Drosophila melanogaster: one gene and its partners. Changing the gene in region 4 together with the main gene of any one other region gives a genetic interaction. Each region holds a gene or a part of one and is shown on either strand. Other genes may lie near its edges. The genes, in order: E(z), Dcp-1, Drice and nanos.

The links.
Region 1: of nanos (region 4) and E(z), changing one suppresses a phenotype caused by changing the other (phenotypic suppression), as found in Drosophila melanogaster (one study listed by BioGRID).
Region 2: of nanos (region 4) and Dcp-1, changing one suppresses a phenotype caused by changing the other (phenotypic suppression), as found in Drosophila melanogaster (one study listed by BioGRID).
Region 3: of nanos (region 4) and Drice, changing one suppresses a phenotype caused by changing the other (phenotypic suppression), as found in Drosophila melanogaster (one study listed by BioGRID).

Annotation. Positions count from the first base shown.
Region 1 is NT_037436.4:10,634,075-10,639,953, reverse strand, and holds E(z) (enhancer of zeste), read left to right. Parts: upstream 1-2,074; 5' UTR 2,075-2,192; coding exon 2,193-2,314; intron 2,315-2,376; coding exon 2,377-3,108; intron 3,109-3,169; coding exon 3,170-3,330; intron 3,331-3,513; coding exon 3,514-3,528; intron 3,529-3,860; coding exon 3,861-3,958; intron 3,959-4,016; coding exon 4,017-4,206; intron 4,207-4,268; coding exon 4,269-4,838; intron 4,839-4,906; coding exon 4,907-5,316; 3' UTR 5,317-5,379; downstream 5,380-5,879. Other genes in the region: CG18628 (uncharacterized protein), read right to left, coding at 1-34, 98-155; Cnep1r2 (CTD nuclear envelope phosphatase 1 regulatory subunit 2), read right to left, coding at 585-739, 1,254-1,400, 1,460-1,531, 1,629-1,650; CG34001 (uncharacterized protein), read right to left, coding at 5,382-5,687, 5,756-5,879. UniProt on the Drosophila melanogaster protein: Polycomb group (PcG) protein. Catalytic subunit of the Esc/E(z) complex, which methylates 'Lys-9' and 'Lys-27' of histone H3, leading to transcriptional repression of the affected target gene.
Region 2 is NT_033778.4:23,549,296-23,554,050, reverse strand, and holds Dcp-1 (death caspase-1), read right to left. Parts: upstream 2,739-4,755; 5' UTR 2,329-2,738; coding exon 2,177-2,328; intron 1,751-2,176; coding exon 1,188-1,750; intron 1,128-1,187; coding exon 871-1,127; 3' UTR 504-870; downstream 1-503. Other genes in the region: pita, read left to right, coding at 3,015-4,103, 4,160-4,755. UniProt on the Drosophila melanogaster protein: Involved in the activation cascade of caspases responsible for apoptosis execution. Proteolytically cleaves poly(ADP-ribose) polymerase (PARP). Loss of zygotic DCP-1 function causes larval lethality and melanotic tumors.
Region 3 is NT_033777.3:29,797,933-29,802,151, reverse strand, and holds Drice (death related ICE-like caspase), read right to left. Parts: upstream 2,495-4,219; 5' UTR 2,255-2,494; coding exon 1,235-2,254; 3' UTR 568-1,234; downstream 1-567. Other genes in the region: Etfb (electron transfer flavoprotein beta subunit), read left to right, coding at 1-203; Rnb (R and B), read left to right, coding at 2,883-3,044, 3,151-3,243, 3,321-3,914, 3,972-4,219.
Region 4 is NT_033777.3:19,155,230-19,160,793, reverse strand, and holds nanos (nanos), read right to left. Parts: upstream 3,557-5,564; 5' UTR 3,294-3,556; coding exon 2,822-3,293; intron 2,279-2,821; coding exon 1,809-2,278; intron 1,736-1,808; coding exon 1,472-1,735; 3' UTR 1,185-1,471; coding exon of another isoform or gene 1,089-1,184; 3' UTR 592-1,088; downstream 1-591. Other genes in the region: Nsun5 (Nop2/Sun-like domain containing protein 5), read left to right, coding at 1-67, 131-561; CG11779 (uncharacterized protein), read left to right, coding at 1,089-1,184, 4,248-4,328, 4,392-4,929, 4,997-5,564. UniProt on the Drosophila melanogaster protein: Maternal RNA-binding protein that is required for germ cells proliferation and self-renewal. Acts by forming a complex with pum and brat that regulates translation and mRNA stability.

The DNA of each region.
Region 1 (5,879 bases), on a different chromosome or scaffold from region 4:
ACCATGGGGGCCTCGTTGTTCAGTTGGGGAAGGGCTAGAATGTATGGGAAGCAGTTAAGTAGAGCTGTTGTCGAGCGTAACCCATTGCAATCCTTGCCAGAGGCCATGAAGAAGGCGAGGCCCAGGATGAGAGTGCACACGAGTAGGAACTTCATGGTAAAGCTGGTTTGTTGTACAGATGGCTTGCTTGCTTCTGATGCCTTGGAACTGCACAGACTCCCTATTTATACAGAATGCGGCTCGATAAAAACCGCTCCAAATATACAAAAACACTTGTCGTTGCACAATTTGCGAGCAACTCGTTAGTTATAGATGAATTGATATTGAAATGTCGCTTGGTGTATTTGGCAGCGATGGGTAACGCCATTAACGAAACACATAAAGCTTAACAATTGATTTCTTTTCTTTTTGTTTTTTTGTACAAAGGAGCTTCTATAATTAAACAAAATGTGTAGGGGAGAAATAAGAGGTACTTTAAAAATACGCTTACAAAGCGAGGGTGTCCGAATCAACATGTAGGAAAAAAGAAAAGGGTAAGGGAACTAGCAATTAACTAAATAAACGTCCTGGAAGCTGGCCGGTGCTCATGTACTGTTGTTGTTACTTTGCCGCGGCTTGAGTATCAGCTTCCCCGTGTCGTCACAGCTCATATTAAAGTCTCCCAGTACCATTCGCGTTCTCGATGTAATTATTTGCGGAGCTATGACTAGTTTCTGTATGCCCAGGATGAACAGGACGACTGCGGAGAGAAATGATAAGGTTTACAAAATCAGTAAGTCAGTTTCAAACCAAAAAAATTAGATTAGATTAAATGGAAGTGTTTGTTAGCTGAAAATTCTTAATCAGTTGGACTATCAATATTGATATATACAAATCGAATTTGATAAAGCGAAGAGCTTTGACAAGATTAAAGGCAACCTAATGTTGCTAAAATTTGGAGAATGTACTTATGTAGTTTGCATAGATGTGATAGATATAAGGAGTGTATTCTACTCAAAATAACAGTAGAAATACCTAAAAATTTGAAATTCTTGATTTTGATCCTTTCTTTTTACCGAGTAGCCTGAGATAACCTGATATATAGTATCGACTTGCTCTACGATATGATTATATGGATTTAAATAGCATGGTATGGCTTGGTATTAAAATTATTCTCCATACTAGGTAGAATATCCGAGGTTCAATGACCGCCGCTGTTGACTACAAAAAGTGACCTATGTACGGAGTACAGTAGTGGCTACACCGATTCTTACCCAATGTTAGGGTGGCGACTGTGAAGACGGGATGAATCCAGAGGGACTCCGTTAGCGGTACAACGGTGGTGCGCGGATCGCGTAGCCAGTACCAGGCGCTGATGGCGGTGCACATGGACATGGCGGAAAGGACAACTGCAAGAAGCTCTATGGTTATTACGGATTGTAATGCTCCCTGGTGTTCTCATTATACGGATGCAACTTACTGCGCCAGCGGAACGTCGAGGGACGGTACGATGAAACCACTTCGGTGAGGCGCCGCTCGAAGGCCTTGAGATCTGCAGAGGAGCGAGGAAAACAAACCCAGTTATGGTTGGTAAACATAGTCAGTGGCTTGCGCGTTTTCCGGCTCTCTTTTGCCGGCGAGTTACATACCTTCGCAGGCTGACGGTTCCATTGCAGCTATTTCCTCAAAGCTCGTGGCCGTCTTAATGCGATTAAATTTGTCCAGTTTAAATATTATTGTATTTATTATTATTATTTGATGAGGTTCTCATAGCTTTCTTTTCCTCTTTTTATGTTTTTGATGACATTCCACGTTTGAGAGCACTGATAACGGGCTGCGTTTCTCAACACTACACAAAGCAGGGTCGTACCAAAGAGGGGCTCTTTGTTTATTTCCTACTTTCAGTACAAAATGGTTGTATAGCTAATTTAAAGTGAGTATTATATTTATGTATTATTTATATTATATTTATATTATTTTAATACAAAAATATCATAGTTTTTATTATAATATAAATATAATTAATGGCTTACCGGACAAATTAAGTACCCACTAAATGGTCTTCTACATACACCCATGTGTCTAAGTTATTCTTCCTGCAGTACAACGGTCACACTGCGGCAGCTGTTGCAAAAAAAGGCGGATAATATTTGTAGCAAAATCAGTGTTTTTTATACGTAAAATCAACAAATATAAAGTCCCTCGAAGGCATTATGAATAGCACTAAAGTGCCGCCCGAGTGGAAGAGGCGTGTCAAGTCGGAGTACATCAAAATCAGGCAGCAGAAGCGCTACAAACGTGCCGACGAGATCAAGGAGGCGTGGATAAGAAACTGGTAAGCGCGGGAGAGATGGTGGATGTCTGGGAATCGAAAATCTATGTACACATATCCTCCAGGGACGAGCACAACCACAATGTACAGGATCTGTACTGCGAGTCGAAGGTTTGGCAGGCTAAACCCTACGATCCGCCGCATGTGGACTGTGTGAAGCGGGCGGAGGTGACTAGCTACAATGGCATTCCCAGCGGTCCGCAAAAGGTGCCCATTTGCGTGATCAACGCGGTCACTCCCATACCCACCATGTACACGTGGGCACCAACACAGCAGAACTTCATGGTGGAGGATGAGACGGTGCTGCACAATATACCCTATATGGGCGACGAGGTCCTCGATAAGGATGGCAAGTTCATAGAGGAACTGATCAAAAACTACGATGGCAAGGTTCACGGCGACAAGGATCCCTCGTTCATGGACGATGCCATCTTCGTAGAACTGGTGCACGCCCTTATGCGCTCCTACAGCAAGGAACTGGAGGAAGCCGCTCCGGGTACAGCGACTGCCATTAAAACAGAGACGTTGGCGAAATCAAAACAGGGCGAAGATGATGGGGTAGTTGATGTTGACGCAGATGGTGAATCTCCCATGAAGCTTGAGAAAACCGACAGCAAAGGGGATCTGACTGAAGTTGAGAAGAAGGAAACTGAAGAACCGCTGGAGACTGAAGATGCGGATGTTAAGCCCGATGTGGAAGAAGTCAAGGACAAGCTGCCCTTCCCTGCGCCCATTATTTTTCAGGCCATCAGCGCTAACTTTCCAGACAAGGGCACCGCGCAAGAGCTCAAAGAAAAGTATGTAATTTGATAACCAGGTTAGTAAATATCCCTTCTTACGGCTTTTTCTTTTTGCTAGGTACATTGAGCTTACGGAGCACCAGGATCCGGAGCGCCCACAGGAGTGCACACCCAACATTGACGGCATCAAGGCCGAGAGCGTTTCCCGGGAAAGGACTATGCACTCCTTTCACACGCTCTTCTGTCGTCGTTGCTTCAAATACGACTGCTTCCTGCACCGTAAGTTAAACGATGGGAACTGCTGCCAGCTGGGTTACCTAATGACTTTACGTTTTGTTTTTGCTTTTCTTTTCTTGTTTGGAAACAATATTATCTTACCAAAAAACACAAATCTGTACCATTTCTTAAACCCCCAAAAAAAAAAACGAAATTCCAAAATGTATTGAATTAATTGCAATTTAGGTCACCATGTGCAGGGTGAGTCGTTGTTGTAGTTGTTGTTTCGATAACCACACGCACACACTCTCATGCCGTTTGCCCGTCAACGCCTCCGCATCCTCATCTCGCTGTCTATGAATATAATTTTTATAATAACCCATATCGGTGGATAATTTGGCTATGTTTGTCATGTGTCTAAATTGACCCCTCGGTGTTGCTCACCTCATTTTCGTGTGGCTTTGGCTGGACCATTTCTCTCTATCTCTTCAAATGTAACCGATTACCCTCATGCTAATCCAAAAGCGTTTCATAGACATCAAGTGATTTTCGCCCGATTGAGTTATTCTAATCCCGCTGCTCTGTGTTCACAGGCTTGCAAGGACATGCGGGTCCCAATCTCCAGAAGCGTCGCTATCCGGAACTGAAGCCTTTCGCCGAACCTTGCAGCAACTCCTGCTACATGTTGATCGTAAGTTGGATGCACTTTATAAATTTAAATGGTATTTTAATTCTGTTATATGCTGCAGGATGGCATGAAGGAAAAGCTGGCGGCCGATAGCAAGACACCTCCCATTGATTCCTGCAATGAGGCCAGCTCCGAGGACAGTAATGACAGCAACAGTCAGTTTAGCAACAAGGACTTTAATCATGAGAATAGCAAGGATAATGGCCTGACTGTAAATAGCGCCGCTGTGGCTGAGATCAACTCCATTATGGGTCAGTTTTAAGTTAGCAGATTGGTTGGACCATGTGTTAAATATTTCACTTTTTCTCACCAGCTGGCATGATGAACATCACCAGTACGCAGTGCGTTTGGACAGGCGCTGACCAAGCACTTTATCGGGTCTTGCATAAAGTGTATTTAAAGAACTACTGCGCGATTGCGCACAACATGCTGACCAAGACCTGTCGTCAGGTGTACGAGTTTGCCCAGAAGGAGGATGCTGAGTTTAGCTTCGAGGATTTGCGACAGGACTTCACACCTCCGCGCAAGAAGAAGAAGAAGCAACGTCTGTGGTCGCTGCACTGTCGTAAGATTCAGCTAAAGAAGGACTCATCCTCGAATCACGTGTACAACTACACGCCCTGCGACCATCCCGGACATCCATGCGACATGAACTGCTCCTGCATTCAGACACAAAACTTCTGCGAAAAGTTCTGCAACTGCAGCAGCGATTGCCAGAATCGTTTCCCCGGCTGTCGCTGCAAGGCTCAGTGCAATACGAAGCAGTGTCCTTGCTATCTGGCAGTGCGCGAGTGTGATCCCGATCTGTGCCAGGCCTGCGGAGCGGATCAGTTTAAGCTGACCAAGATCACGTGCAAGAACGTGTGCGTGCAGCGAGGACTGCGTAAGAAACCTTCTTATATATCCATATTGGTCTTCGCCACTGTCAACTAATTTAATCTTCAATTGCAGACAAGCACCTGCTCATGGCTCCGTCTGACATCGCCGGCTGGGGCATCTTTCTTAAGGAGGGTGCGCAAAAGAATGAGTTCATTTCGGAATATTGTGGCGAGATCATATCCCAAGATGAAGCCGATCGCCGTGGCAAGGTTTACGACAAGTACATGTGCTCATTTCTTTTCAATCTGAACAACGATTTTGTTGTGGATGCCACTCGGAAGGGCAACAAGATTCGGTTTGCCAATCATTCCATTAATCCCAATTGCTATGCCAAGGTTATGATGGTCACCGGCGATCATCGCATCGGCATCTTTGCCAAGCGGGCCATTCAGCCCGGCGAAGAGCTATTCTTTGACTACAGATACGGACCCACGGAGCAGCTGAAGTTCGTGGGCATAGAGCGTGAAATGGAAATTGTTTGATAACGAGTCTACTTATGAAAATCGTATCATACAAATTGAATAAAACTATATTTTTGAAAACACACCTAAACGGATTTAGCTACATTGGCTATAATTGGTTTGGGTCGCGATTTGAAGATTAATTTTTTGGTGCAAACGGCGCGCACAGTGTACTCCGTTCTTTGGCGACTCTTGTGCTCCTGGGCGATCGTATGATCCAGCACTGTGCGCTCCGCTCCCGTGGTGGCGTTCAGCATACTGACATCCTGCGAGGCCATGCTCGTTTCTAGGAGTCGTTCTCCCTCATTGGTCTTGGACTTTTCCAGCACCGCAAATGGTTTATCCAACTTTTGTTCACGTCCCTGAAGAATGTGATGTCCAATGATGAGAATCTTATGATATAAGTAAAATCAGATTGTTTAAGAGCTGGTTAAATTATAACTTTACAATTACAACTCACAGGTTGGCCATATTTATTGTAGTAGAGATCGCCAATAAACTGGCCGTGCATATCCTGGTTGCTCCGCACCTCCAGGTCGCCTTGCAGCTCTATAATGGCCCAATCGCCTTTGCCAGCGTTTTGT
Region 2 (4,755 bases), on a different chromosome or scaffold from region 4:
GGGCTTTCCCTTTTTCCTCTTGTGCAAAGAAAAATGAAAATTTCTGCGATTTGGGGCAACTGTACTGCGCCACACGCACACTAGTGCGTCAACAGCTGATCGCCCTGACAGCTGTCAGTTGTTTTTGGCGCTAAATTCAAATCGAGATCATATTTAAATGCATTAATAGTTCCTTCGATACTTATATTTACGCAAAAATCATCATTTGGTTAATTTTATTAATTTCCTAAATTATAAAATTAGGAAATAAATATAAAATTTAGGAAATTAATAAAATTAGAGTGAGAAAAATCTTAATTAATCACTCTTAATAATGCTAATTTGAATTCCACTAAAGTTTCGTACAATTTCACTGATTCAGCCAACCAAGTCTTCATTGTTATCTTTTATTTCCCATATCAACGTACTCAATCTGGCCCAGACAGCTCCTGTCTTCAAACAAAGTTGCTTAGATCGAAATTACCCATCTACGTTCAATTGGGGAGATACCTTGCTATGTTTTTAATTCATTTTTATTCATATCAAATATAAATGTTTGCGTGTACATAAAAGTATGTATGTATGTATAAATCTTCATTGTATTATCTTATCTCAAATTTGTGGGTTTTCTATTGGCAAGGTCTCGCTTATGCATACGGAAGTCATCTAGTGGGTAAATGGGTAACGAATTTCGTCAATGATAAGGCCGAAATGGGCATGGGAAAGGCAGGGGAATGAATGAAAGGGAGTCGGGTGCTTCAATATCCATCGGGATAATCGCACGCGTCAGCTAAAACTAAACTTGAAGTGAATTGGAATCCAACGTGAATGATTGCGGGCGATGGTTGTACAACCTCTGTTGAAAGTTCTTCTTCGAAGGGAGATCTCTTCCTAGCCAGCCTTATTGCCGTTCGGCTTGTCGCCGAAGCGCAGTATGCGCGTCAGCATGGAGGTGAGGCACGGTATTTGCTTCTGGCGATCCATCATCGGTGTGGCGGGCACGTTCGACTCAAAGTCTAGGGCTACGCGCTGGTTAACGAATGTAAGCAGGGTGAGCAGGTCGTACTTTTTGCCATTGGCGTTCAGCTCGCGGATCAGCGATTGCATGTACCAGGAGCCATTGTTGATGTTGCGCCAGGAGAAGTAGCCTAACAGGACGAGATTGCTAGTGAAATTCACTAAAATAGTTACCTAATCATATTCCTTACCCGGAATGGTCGAGTAGGAGAAGAGAAAGTCGGCGTGTATGGGTATCTTGTAGCTCGTCGAGGACTCCCCGTCCGTCTCGGTAACGCCCTTCTCCAGAGTGATGCCTCCGTCCAAGCGATCGCCCTGGCAGGCTTGGATGAAGAACAGCTTCGGCTTGCCCGCCAGCGAGGGGCAGAAGGTGGCAGTGAAGTAGTGCCAGATGTTGTCCAGCTTGTACTGCGTATCCTTGGCGTACAGGTAGCCGTGCTCCCCGTGCGAGAGTATGGCCACCGCAAGGCAGTCGTTGTCCGTGTGGTCCAACTCGGCGGCCTTCCCCACGTGCTTCAGGATGTCCCTCAACTTGCAGTCCTTGTGCACGGACACCGCGAATCCCAGGTTTTCAAAGGCCTTTTTCAGCTCTTGGGCATCGACATTTGTTCCGGTGCGGCTCTTCAGCGAGGGTATGTCGAAGAATTCGTGGTTGAAGATCAGCGCAACTCCGCGGTGCTTGTGACTCATGTTGTATTCGCTTGCATATCGTTCCACGGGCATTCGAGCCACAAACTTGTTGGCCGGCAAGGGGCTGGGGAAAAAGAAATCAGAATTATAATAGCCATTTGGGAAGCAGCATGATAAGATAAGGTAATCGGCGAAATAATCGATGATTGGGTATTTATTTATGTAATTATTTTCAAATATATTTGTGAATAAGACTAAATAGAACAATAGAATTAAAGTCAAGTGCTTTCAAACTTTGTGACTTCAGCCATTTTAACAACATTATAAAGACAGATTGACACATTGATTTTAAATGTTGGCAATAGACAGTATAAATAATATAAAAATAATAGATTGTGGAATGAAAATGGAATAAATAAAAAAAAAAGAGCTTTATATGCTGCATTTGAAACTAGGATATAGCAGTTATGCCAGTACTTGCATTGATAACAAAACACAGAAACATAAAGAGAGAGATGGGAGAGGGAGAGAGCGAGGCACATGGACTCACCTCGCTGCAGTTGCACCACCAACAACAAGAGACTCCGGCGTACAGCCCTTGGCATCGGTATTATCAGCCATTATAAAGCTGCCCCGATTTTCCGATCCATTTGGGCTGCGAATGCCTACTCCGTAGTTTCTGGTTACGCACTCGTCGGTCATCTTGCGCCCCTTTTCTTGCTTAAGTTCTTGTTTTGATTGTTTGCGTTTCTCCTTGTGTTTCCTCTTGCCTTTTGTTCGCTCCCTCCTGCTCCTCCCTCGCTCACGCGCTGCTCTTTCCTTCCTTTTCTCTCTCCGCAGTTGTTGCGCCCTTTTTGGTCTGATTCTTGTTTTATTCTGACACTGCTTCTGTTTTCTATTGCTCTGCGTTGGCCAAACTTTGCGCAGCGCAGCTGTTTTGCGCTTCTCAGCCAGCTTTTGTCGGCTTTCGATCGAGCGAATGTCCTTTTATGGCTCACAGTCGGACGTGTTTAATCAATCAATTAACGGAGGTTAAGCGTGCTCTGAGCGGCGAAAACAAACTGCGATTGCATGTAGTCGTGTGTATGCACTTGCCGCCAAGCGGCGATGGCCGCTCGTCGATAGCACTAATCATCGATTGGTGGCCATCGATTAATTTGTAGAGGGTGTTCTGGTCCTCGGCGCCTTTGTTTAAATTTAAACTCTAACATTATATTGTTCATTTTAAGGGAAAGAGACATTTATGGCGTTTAATTTATTATGTAGCGAAAAACATATAGGGGTGTTCCACGAATATTACCTTATTATTTGGCTTAAGCACGGACTTCCCCGAATAAATGTAGCTTCCTAGTCACTCACACATTTATCTAATCTAACATTAAAAACAGGTCTACGCCGGCGACGGAATGCCGGGGCACATCTGTCTGGAGTGCCGCCTCCTCTTCGAGCACTGCTACCGCTTCAAGCAGATGTGCAAGCGGGCGGAGACCCTCCTGCGCCAGTATCCGCTCACGGGTAACTGGCCATCGCCGCTGGAGAAGCCCCGTGCGCCCATGACGATGGTGGCTTCCAAGAAGTTGTTGGTCGTGCCAGCAAAGACAGCCGAGCCAAGCGAAACGCCCAAAAAGCTGCTGAACACAATGGCCAAATCCAGTAGTCAGGTGATCATCGAGGACGTCCAGGTGCTGGAGAGCGCCATGGTGACCCCCAGGACGGTAGCCGGTTCCTCTCCAGTGCCACGTCGTTCGCACGCCTATGAGCTGAAGGTGGATAACAACCAGGAGCTGTCCATGGACGATGTGCAGAGCATGCTGGAGGATATGGCCAGTGAGCTAGAGAAGGAGTTCCCCGATATCCCCCAGAAGGCATCACCCGTCAAGCCGAAGGTGCTGAACAAGTCCTCGATTAGGATCTTGAACAAGGGACCCGCCGCTCCGGTGGAACCGCGCCTGGCCACACCCAAAGTCAAGCGAGATGATAGTGGCAATGTGGCCATAGTGACAGAGGTTCTGGACTCGGATCTGCCATTGGACGATCAAGATGATCCGACCAAGAACGCCGAGAAGGTGGCCACCGATGTGTTCCCCTGTCCCGATTGCGAACGCTCCTTTCCGCTGCAGCAGCTGCTCGAGATCCATCGGCTGAATCACACTCGCTCGCGCAGCTTCCAGTGTCTCCTGTGCGAGAAGAGCTTCTTCTCCAAGTACGACCTGGCCAAGCACAACTTTGTGCACACCGGCGAGCGGCCATTCAAGTGCGCCATCTGCTCGAAAGCCTTCACACGGAAGGCATTGCTCCATCGCCACGAGCGCACCCACACGGACGTACCCAAGTTCATCTGCGTGTACTGCGAGAAGCCCTTCCTTTCGCGCCAGGAGATGGAGAAGCACGCCGAGCGACATCAGAAGAAGCGTCCGTTCCAATGCGGTGTCTGCACCAAGTCGTTTGCCTTCAAGCAGGGATTGGAGCGTCATGAGGTGGGTTGACAAGCATATTTGGGATTGCCCCGGCTAACGATTATGTCCACTTTCAGACAGTCCACTCCACCAATCTTCCCTTCCCCTGTCAGCATTGCGAGAGAAGCTTTTCCACCGCTTCCAAGCTGGCCCGCCACCTGGTTGCCCACGCCGGGAAGAGAGCCTATCCCTGCAAGTACTGCCACAAGTCCTACATGCTGTCGCATCATCTCTCGCGCCACCTGCGCACGCACACGCAGACTTCCGACGCCTCGTTCGTGTGCAGTGAGTGCAAGGTGTCGTACAGCAACTATAACGACCTACTGGATCATGCGCTCATTCATGCCACCGCCAGCCTGAAATGTCCCATGTGTCGCAAGCAGATCGAAGATATCGACAGTGTCGAGAGCCACATGGACCAGCACAAGCAGAGCGAGCGCCATGCCTGCGAGTTCTGTGACCACATCTTCTTGACGCAGAAATGCCTGCAGCGCCACATCGAGGACGATCATGTGGTGGAAATGGAGCCGTACCAGAACGAGTTCGAAGACGACGGCGAAGGAGAAGGCGGCGTCGATGAGAAGGAGGAACATCTTGACGATTTTGAAGACATGGACAATGTGAAGCAGGAAGAATTCGTGACGGAATACTTAGAAGACGATGCTCTCTATGA
Region 3 (4,219 bases), about 11 Mb from region 4:
CCCCTCGCTACGCCACGTTGCCGAACATCATGAAGGCCAAGAAGAAGCCGCTGAAGAAGGTTACGGCCAAGGATCTCGGCGTGGACACCTCGCCCCGCATCGAGGTCATCTCCGTGGAGGATCCTCCTGTGCGCCAGGCCGGCGCCACCGTCGCCGACGTGGATGCCCTGGTGGCCAAGCTAAAGGAGGGCGGCCACATCTAGATGTTCCTCAACTAGAAAATTGTGAGCGCATATTCTACGTTTTTAATTAGTCGAAAGTTATCAGAAACGTGCATTTATCTAGCCGGAGAGTCGGATTTGCTGACAGGCTTTAAATTTCTCTGAATTCAACCCATACCCGTGTGCTTTAAGTGAACTATAAATTGGAATTTATTCTCGTTGTGTCCAGCTCTAAGAATAAAGTGATTGTAAGCTCTGAAATCGTACGATCAGGGTCAGCCAATGGCTGGACTCGTCTATTTTTCCGTCTCCGCGTGCTACCTTTTCGGGAAATGCCGCTCAACTTGGCGCCCAAAAGAGGCGACAGGGTCAACAGCAAACAGCCAATGGTCATTGATTTCTCATTGTTTTCAATCGGATTTATTAGCGGTTAACTTGAAAGGAGAACATTTGCTAATGTGCATTATATAAGAGTACAAATGGCATAGAAATAGTATATATTGTTCATAAAACACTCGACTACAGGCTAAAATCGTTTGTTTTCGTTTTGGACGACCATGACACACAGGCTTATACTATAAAGATATCTATGTGTATAAAATTGTAAAAAGGTCTTGTCTGTAAATGGTCTAAGGTAGATATAGATAAGGGTGGGCCGACATTCCTGATCGAGAATCAAAGAGGCGCAAGTTGTTCTATGATAAGGTTTAGTAGAGAATTTAAAATTTTGAGATCGTCTTTGTTCAGTTGGCAAGTTAAAATTGTCAAAAAATTTTGGCCGGAGTAAAAACCTCTTAGATTTCTAAGTTAAATCGATCTACTCTACCCACCCCAAAAAATATAAATACAGACGAGTAAATGCGACATTAATAAATGTCAATCGAAAGATACTTTGTGCCTAAATAAAATAAAACGGGCAGTGGCACCAATCTCGTCGAGCAATTGGGCAGGTTAAAAAAGTGTTGTATAAAAAATATGCTGCAAGGCCGATAGCCCATGAGGTTCTAACTTAATTGCGACTTGGTTTATCACACACCTCGCCGTACCCACCGTTTGATCCATACCATTAGCCATCAAACCCGTCCGGCTGGTGCCAACTGCTTGTCGCTGAAACGCAGAATGCGCGTCAGCATGGTGGTTATGCAGGGTATCTGCTTCTGCTGGTGCATCTCCGGAGTGTCCGGGGTGCAGGACTCAAAGTCCACGGCCACCCGCTGGCACACGAATGTGAGCAGGGTCAGGATGTCCAGCCGCTTGCCATTGGCCGCCAGTTCGGCGCACAGGCTCTGCATGAACCAGCTGCCGCGGGTGGTGTTGCGCCACGAATAGAATCCAGGAACCGTCGAGTAGGCGATCAGAAAGTCGGCGTGCACTGGAATCTTGTAGCTCATCGAGGAGTCGCCATCGGTTTCCGTCTGAGAACGCTGCATGGTCACTCCGCCATCCAATCTGTCGCCCTGGCAGGCCTGTATGAAGAACAACTTGGGTTTGCCGGCTAGCGAGGGGCAGTGATTGGCCGTGAAGAAGCTCCAGATGTTATCCAGCTTGTACTGTGTGTCCTTGGCGTAGATGTAGCCCATCTCGCCGTGCGACAGGATGGCGACCAGGATGCAATCACTATCGCTGTGATTCTGCGACGCTGCATACTCGATTGTCCTCAAAATGTCCTTGTAGCGGCAGTCCTTGTACACGGTCACTTCGAAGTCCAGCTGCTTGAGCACCCGAGTCAGATTCTCGCAGTCCACATTGGTTCCCGCGCGAGACTTCAAGGTGGGCACCTCGAAGTGCTCATGGTTGAAGATCAGTGCCATTCCGCGGTTCTTGTGGCGCATGTTGTACTCGGCTGCATGGCGGTCGGTGACCATTTTGGCTACATTCTTACGGTAGCTGGACGAGGGTGAGCTGTACCCGTTGGCCAGCTGCCCAATGGCTCCGCTGCCGTAAGGATGCGAGGATCCTGCGACCAGGCCGCTGCTACCCGCTCCTCCGGATCCCACGGAGCCCAGGGCATCTGTGTGATCGTTGGGCTGCTCCGGATTGCCCACCCTGATGCCCACCTGGTCGGCGGATTCTCCATTGTTAGTGGCGTCCATGGCTAAGTTCTCTCCTTGAGCCTGCGAAAACTGATGAGTCACAAGCACTGCGAAACAGGTTTTTCCAAATCTGTGAAAAGCTTGGATGCACGACTTGGGCAAATTAGCTTCGTTCTGGGGAAAGTCCGTGTTTACGCGCAACAAAGACAGCTAGTTATTAACTAATTACTTTAGTCGATTGCGTTTTTGTCTTTAATTCTGTAAGACCGTTGTTGGCAGTTGAAAAACACCAAATAGCGCCTGATTTGGTGATGACACTTCAGCCCTCGTGTCACGATTACGGTAAACAAAGAAAGTAAATAAATATAGGAAAAATTATTAAATGGGTTTTAAAAAATATTAAAATAATTTGAAATTAAAAGCTTGGAGGTAATTTTGTGGGAACTTGTATAATCTACATAAAAAACAGGCCTGCTTCCATTTATTATTGTAGAATCGAATTCGCATCCAAAGCTAAAACGTAAACATCAGTTTATAAATAAGGCAGACCGCTGCTGGATTTTCGAAAAATAACGTAAAATACCGTAAAATACGCTCTTATGCACGGTCACACTCTCAAAGAGGTTTGAGACGCACTGTAGAATTTGTTGAATTGTTTCAATTTGTTTAAAAATTAAGAAAATTACCAATGTTCTGGACACCAGAGCAAGTGGAGAGCATGCTGGAAGTGCTAAAGACCTCCACGGATCGAACAGTCATTTACAAATGCCTGGTGAAGCTGCGCACCGATCTGGTGAAGGATAAAAATGGCATTGTTTTATTTCGCACTGCTGGGGGCGTTCACATCATGGTGGGTTTGGGAGTCACAACGCTCATGGTGGTTTGACAGCCACTGCCGCTCACATAGGATCGTTATTCGAATCGATTTTTAAATCATTATTAATTGCGTCTTCCAGGTGCGACTGATCACCAAGCTGAATGAAAAGATAATGGAGGTGGTACTGAGCATACTGGGGAACTGCTGCACCGACGAACAGTCCTGCATTGAGGTGGGATTATCAGATTACATTTTTATCTTTATTTTGAACCACAACGGTTAAAAAAATTTAAAACTTTCCACTTTAAGGCTGTTGAATGCAAGGTGATTCACCCGCTGGTGACCATTCTGAAGACCATACCTAATCCCCTGATCCAGTGCCGCGCCTGCCGGATGCTTGGAAACATCGCCAAGAGCAAGAAGGCGTCCCAGTGTCTCACAGTGCACTATGCGGCCATTGCACCGGCCATCTGCCACATCATTGAGTCCACCAGTGCGGTGCAGACCCGCATCATGGCATTCCGCGTCTGCCGTTTCCTTCTGGCCAGCAGCCAGTTCCTGAAGTACTTCCTCATGGCCAATGGGTTCCAGCAGCTGATGCGAATTTTTCTGGCCGTGATGAAGAACGAAGAGGCATCCAAGGAGCCCGTTCCGGACATCGAGATGTCCACGCTGATTGGCCTGAAGAGGAACCAGCACCGTGAGAAGTATTTCGAGGAGGTAGCCCGGAATTTGGAGGGTGTTCGCAGTGACATCTTTGACCACCAGATGCTCAAGAATTCCACAAGGAACTGTGACTATGCGCTGCCCAAGGAAAATGAAGCGGCCGTTGAGCTGGCCCTCGAGATTCTGAAGTGTCTGGTCCTGATATCCGCGCAGCAAATTGGACTGAAAGTTTGGGAGGTGAGACTGTTTTCTAAGTTCTCCAAAACGTAGTACATAATAAACATTTCTTGTTAGTCCATTTCCTGGAATACCTCGCTCGCCTCCATTGTGTGCTTCGTAAAGGAGGACGGCGACCAACGGGCCTCTGCCCTTAAAATCCTCTCTAACTTCTGCAAGGATCCCTTCGCCTTCTACATGCTGAGCACTGCGGATGCCATTGTGGCTGCCTGCGAGATGCTCATGGCTGTGAACATGGCAAAGCCACTTAGCGAAAGCGAGAGCCGGCACTGCATCAACATAATCTTGACGCTATCCACCGATGC
Region 4 (5,564 bases):
TGCGAAATAACAAAGGATGCTGGTTGCGATATTGTAAAACCCATTTTGGGAGACGCCTTGAACCTAAGTGAGTTTTATATTTATATATTTCACAATGAATATTTAAAAAAGTAACACGTTTGAATTTCAGCACCCGAACGCTTTCCGGACGTAGAGTACATCCTGGTGGACCCTAGTTGCTCTGGCAGCGGAATGCAAAACCGCATGACCGTGTGCGACGAGCCGAAGGAGGACAAGCGGCTGCAAAAGCTGCAGGGTTTGCAAATTAAGATCCTGTCGCACGCGATGGGCGCCTTTCCGAACGTCAAACGCATTGCCTACTGCACGTGTTCGCTGTGGAAGGAGGAAAACGAGCAGGTGGTGCAGCGTTGTCTTCAGCTAAATCCATCCTTCAAGCTGCTCAGCTGCAAGAAGGCCTTGCGCAACAAGTGGCACAATGTGGGCGACAAGGACTATCCCAATATTGGCAAGAACGTCCTGTATTGCCAGCCGGACAGTGATCTTACCGATGGCATCTTCCTGGCCCTTTTCGAGAAACGCCGCGAGGGCGAAAAGGATTAGTTGTTTCAAACGCAAGAAGGACATTTGTTTCCTTAAATTGTAACCATTTCTTTATTTGGCACTCGAGCCATTGAATTTTTCATTTTCAGAATATGTGTACACATTTTTTAAAAAAATAAAAAAATTATATAATGCTGGCGGTTGTTTCATGTGTGAAAAATTGATCAATGGTAAACAAAATTGAATAAATATATAACATATATATATATATATATATATATATATATATATATATATATAGATATGTGTGTTGAAATGAATACTTGCGATACATGTAATAAAAATACTCTTCGCTTATCTATCAAAAAGTGCGGAATGTCAAAATTTAAAATTTTACAATGAATGCGTAGCCGACGACGAAAGTGTTCCTTGCTATTTCCTTTAGCAAGATTTAAATTTAGATTAAATTCTAATGATACGATTGACAGTTCGAAATTCAAAGTGTTCCTTTTTCAAAATTTAGTAAAGATTGTAGATCAATTGTAGATATATCGAAATTTTTCGGCCGCAAGCGAACATTTTACGAAATGAAGGCGACCAGTTGCAGACCAATTCCATTCATCAACTTTCGGATTGTAAGATATTTCTATCGGCCACGACGATTGAACAAGTATTACGATATTGTAAGTCTTCTTTAACAAAATTAGTTTCCCTTTCACAGAAACAGACATAAATTCTTGAATTATTGACTTGGATTTGAGTGATCGTTCGTTGTCTATACTATAAGATCTATAGGCACGGGATAACGCTCTAAATCTCTTTAAAATCGAACGCGCCAGGCGCTATTTAAACGTTACTATCTATCTATCTGGTTAACCCAGCTTTGATCGGAATGCGTATATATATTTCATGTTATATAAACGCTGCAAAAGCTGCCAGAGCCTCTGCTCCAGAGCTGGATTCGCCCTCTCTAAACCTTCATCTGTTGCTTGTAGTAACTGCTCTTGGCTAGGCGGAACGATTCCGCCTTGATCGCATCCTCCATGGTGATGATCGGCTTCTTGGGGCAGTACTTAATCGTGTGCGCCGAGTCCCCAGATGCCCCGCAGATGGGGCACACGTAGGTGCGTAGTTTGGGGCACAGCACTCGGTTAAAGTTATCTCGCACTGAGTGGCTATTGATAACCGCCTCTGGTTCGTTGTTATTCTCACAAAAGACGCAGTGGCGGCTGATCTGTTGGAGAAACAAGATAACAAATATATTTTGCAAGTTTTAATTCTGCGAATCCTGGATCAGATCCACTCACCTCTTTGGCCTTGCTGTTGTAACGCTTGTACACCTTGTTGTTGTTGTTATTATTGTTACTGGAATTGGAAGCTCCGCGCAGCTGTTCGCCCTGCACGGGCAATCCCAGACCCATTCCCACGCCGAGATTGGTGGACACAGTGGCCGCTGTTTGGGCCTGCAAACCCATTGTATTGGGAGCGGCTGGTATATACGACATGTTTCGCCACACGTTGTTCAGATGCTCCCGGTAGTTGTTCAGCCAGTGGGTGGCGAGTGGAATGGGCATTAAGTTGCCGCCATTGGTCTGCAGCTGGGCAGGATTGCGGCCCAGTGGCAGGTGCAGCCCCTGCTGTTGCTGATGCTGCTGCTGCGGTGGCATTTGCACCTGTGGCGGAGCACTCCCGTAGGACATGCGACCGAGATCATCGCTGGCATAGCCATTGGTCGCGAACTCCTGCATCACATCCTGCATCGAGCCAGCCGCATTTTCTGGGAATAGCAAGCTTTTCATTACCTTGTCCTGAACGTATTTTTTTTATTATTCGCGTTTCAATTGCATTTCAGAAATGTAATAAGCAAATACGGATTAGTTTTTGCATACAAAAAAAAAACAAGAACAGACGAGAAAAAGCAAAGAACTTCTAGAAAATGTAAGACGCAAAATGGCTTTCCGAAGTTAAAACAAAAAGGAATAGCGAAAATGCTAAGGTCAATGGCCGAAAATTCAGGGGCGCTCGAAAAACCTCTTGAAGGGGATACAAGTGTTGGGCAAAGATATATTTTAAAGCACATACAAAATAGTAAAATAAAAAATATACTACACTAAATGGCGAAAATCCTCTGACCTCTGCAGCAATTATACATTTACACAATTTTACTTCTGTTTTGCTCTGTGCTTTCGTTGCCCCTTTAACTAAGCCCATGGCCATTGACTTTGGCATAACTGTACTTGTACAGATAGTCATCTCGCTCCCGCGCACTGTTTTTGGCTATTCTGTTTTAAACGACGCCATATTCGCCATTTCTTCTTACCTGCTGCGCCCGTCGTCACCTGCGCAAAGATTTTCAAGGATCGCGCAATCTCGTCCGTTTGCTGGTGACTCGCACTAGCCGCTGCCGCTGATGCAGCCAGCGCCAATTGGTGCTGCGCCATGGCCAGTTGCTGCTGCTGCTGGAGCAGCAAGTGGTAGTGGTACTGTCGCTGCATAAGGAGCGAATTGGCGGTGGCTGCGCTGTCGGCCAGAAAAGGGAAGTGCGTCGACTGCGCAGACGTCGACGGGTCAGGGGTCACCGGCGTAATGGGCGGACTCAAAGTGGCCGACGAGTTGGCCCCACTGGTATCCAAATACATGTCCTGCAGGCCCAGAATGTTGAGCCCTCCTCTGGCGTGAAAAGCAGAAAAGTTATCCTGCAATTGGAAAATCTTTCCAGACTGAGCCAACGAGGGGGGATTTGCAACACCTACTGCTGCTGCGCCACTGCCCTCCAAGTTGCTGCGGAACATGGCGAAAATCCGGGTCGAAAGTTACGGTTATCGCGCACTCTACTTTCCACAAATCCTCACCCAAAAACCAAGCACAGTTTATTCAACTGAAGTATTCGCGATACTTCTTTATCTAATAATAATGTACATGTAACTAAACTCGCTTTTGGGTTAAAATCGTGACGCAGAGGCAAAAAAAATCGTATGTCCCTTAGACAACTTGAAACAACTGCGAAGCGTACGGCAATTCCAGGAATTTTGTGGTAAAGCTACGCGCCAACTAACGGTTCTTGCTTAGAGGTGGAATAATGTAGTTTTCCAGCGATAATAAATATATCGATATTTTTAGTAAAATTGAAAAGGTAAACTTAATTTTAGAAAATAATTTATAAGAAATTTAATAGTATGCAAAATAATTTTTACTTGCTAAGAATATGTGCCACTAATTAAAAGCTGGACACCGCGCAATGGAAAATAGTACTACAACACAGCAACAAAGCCTGAGTTATCAACAAAAAAATACGAAAACATCTCCCAAAACTAAGCACCCACACGCGCCACTCGCCGTCACAACACAATCACTGCACACCACCATTCGAATTTCGCGCACTGTGACAACATCACATGATATCGGCGCGGCAACATCGGATTACCGACAAAACGAACTATCGCACGAGCCACCGCCGGCGAAGAGCGCTCGTTTTGCAACACCGGCGCGCGCTGAACGAAGAGAACAGCTGACTGCTTGATACGTGCGTGTTTCGCGGCAGGAATTACATAAAGTTTAGAGCCTCTGACGCCAGACCCCCCGAACATTCGCTCCGATCAAACTACCTGCGAACGGTCACCTAATCCCCACCATGGTAGGTTACCTCTGATCCCGGTCATCACTGGCGTTCGCTCACATCCGTCCTTACATGTGCATATTTCGAGGTTAAAACGGTCGAAGCTTTCAATGATTTTTTCTCCTTGCAGTACAGAATAGCTGCCCTTGTGCGGGATCGCGCCTGTCTCTTCACGTGCCAGCAGGCCTCGCAGAACCTGCAGCAGCAGCAGGTTAGAGTTTGGCTCATAAAACCCCATGGCGCAACCGGCCTAAGTCATGACTTTACTCCGCAGCCCCGCTTTTATAGTGCGCCAGGTCGCAGGGCCGGCTTCTTCTCGCAGTTCTTCGACAACATGAAGGCGGAGATGGATAAGAACAAGGAGATCAAGGACAATATCCGAAAGTTCCGTGAGGAGGCCCAGAAGCTGGAAGAATCGGATGCCCTGAAATCGGCGCGGCAAAAGTTTAACATTGTCGAATCGGAGGCGCAAAAGTCGTCTAGCATGCTAAAGGAGCAGCTGGGCGCCATCAAGGAGCGCGTAGGCGATGTTCTGGAGGACGCCAGCAAATCCCACCTGGCCAAAAAGGTTACCGAGGAGCTCTCGAAGAAGGCTAGGGGGGTCAGCGACACGATCTCCGACACCAGTGGCAAGCTGGGCCAGACCAGCGCATTCCAGGCTATCTCTAACACGACGACGACCATCAAGAAGGAGATGGACAGCGCGAGCATAGAGAATCGTGTCTATCGTGCTCCTGCCAAGTTGCGAAAGCGCGTCCAGCTCGTCATGAGCGATAGTGATCGCGTTGTGGAGCCCAACACGGAAGCCACTGGTGAGTCTCCATCTTTTTCCTTCAATAAGATCAAAGGTCATGGCCATAATGTAATGTTACTTTTCAGGTATGGAGCTGCACAAGGACTCCAAGTTCTACGAGTCGTGGGAGAACTTCAAGAACAACAATACCTACGTGAACAAGGTGCTTGACTGGAAGGTTAAATACGACGAGTCCGAGAACCCTGTTATTCGTGCCTCCCGCCTGCTGACCGATAAAGTGTCCGACGTCATGGGTGGACTCTTTTCAAAGACAGAGCTTTCGGAAACGATGACGGAGCTGGTGAAAATCGATCCGAGCTTTGATCAGAAGGATTTCCTCCGCGATTGCGAAACGGACATCATTCCAAATATTCTGGAATCGATTGTCCGTGGGGATCTGGAGATTCTGAAGGATTGGTGCTTTGAGAGCACTTTCAATATTATCGCAAATCCCATTAAGGAGGCTAAGAAGGCCGGCGTGTACCTGGACTCCAAGATCCTCGACATCGAGAACATTGAACTGGCAATGGGCAAGGTTATGGAGCAGGGCCCGGTACTGATTATCACGTTCCAAGCCCAGCAGATTATGTGCGTGCGGGACCAGAAGAGTCAGGTCGTCGAGGGAGATCCGGAGAAGGTGATGCGGGTTCACTA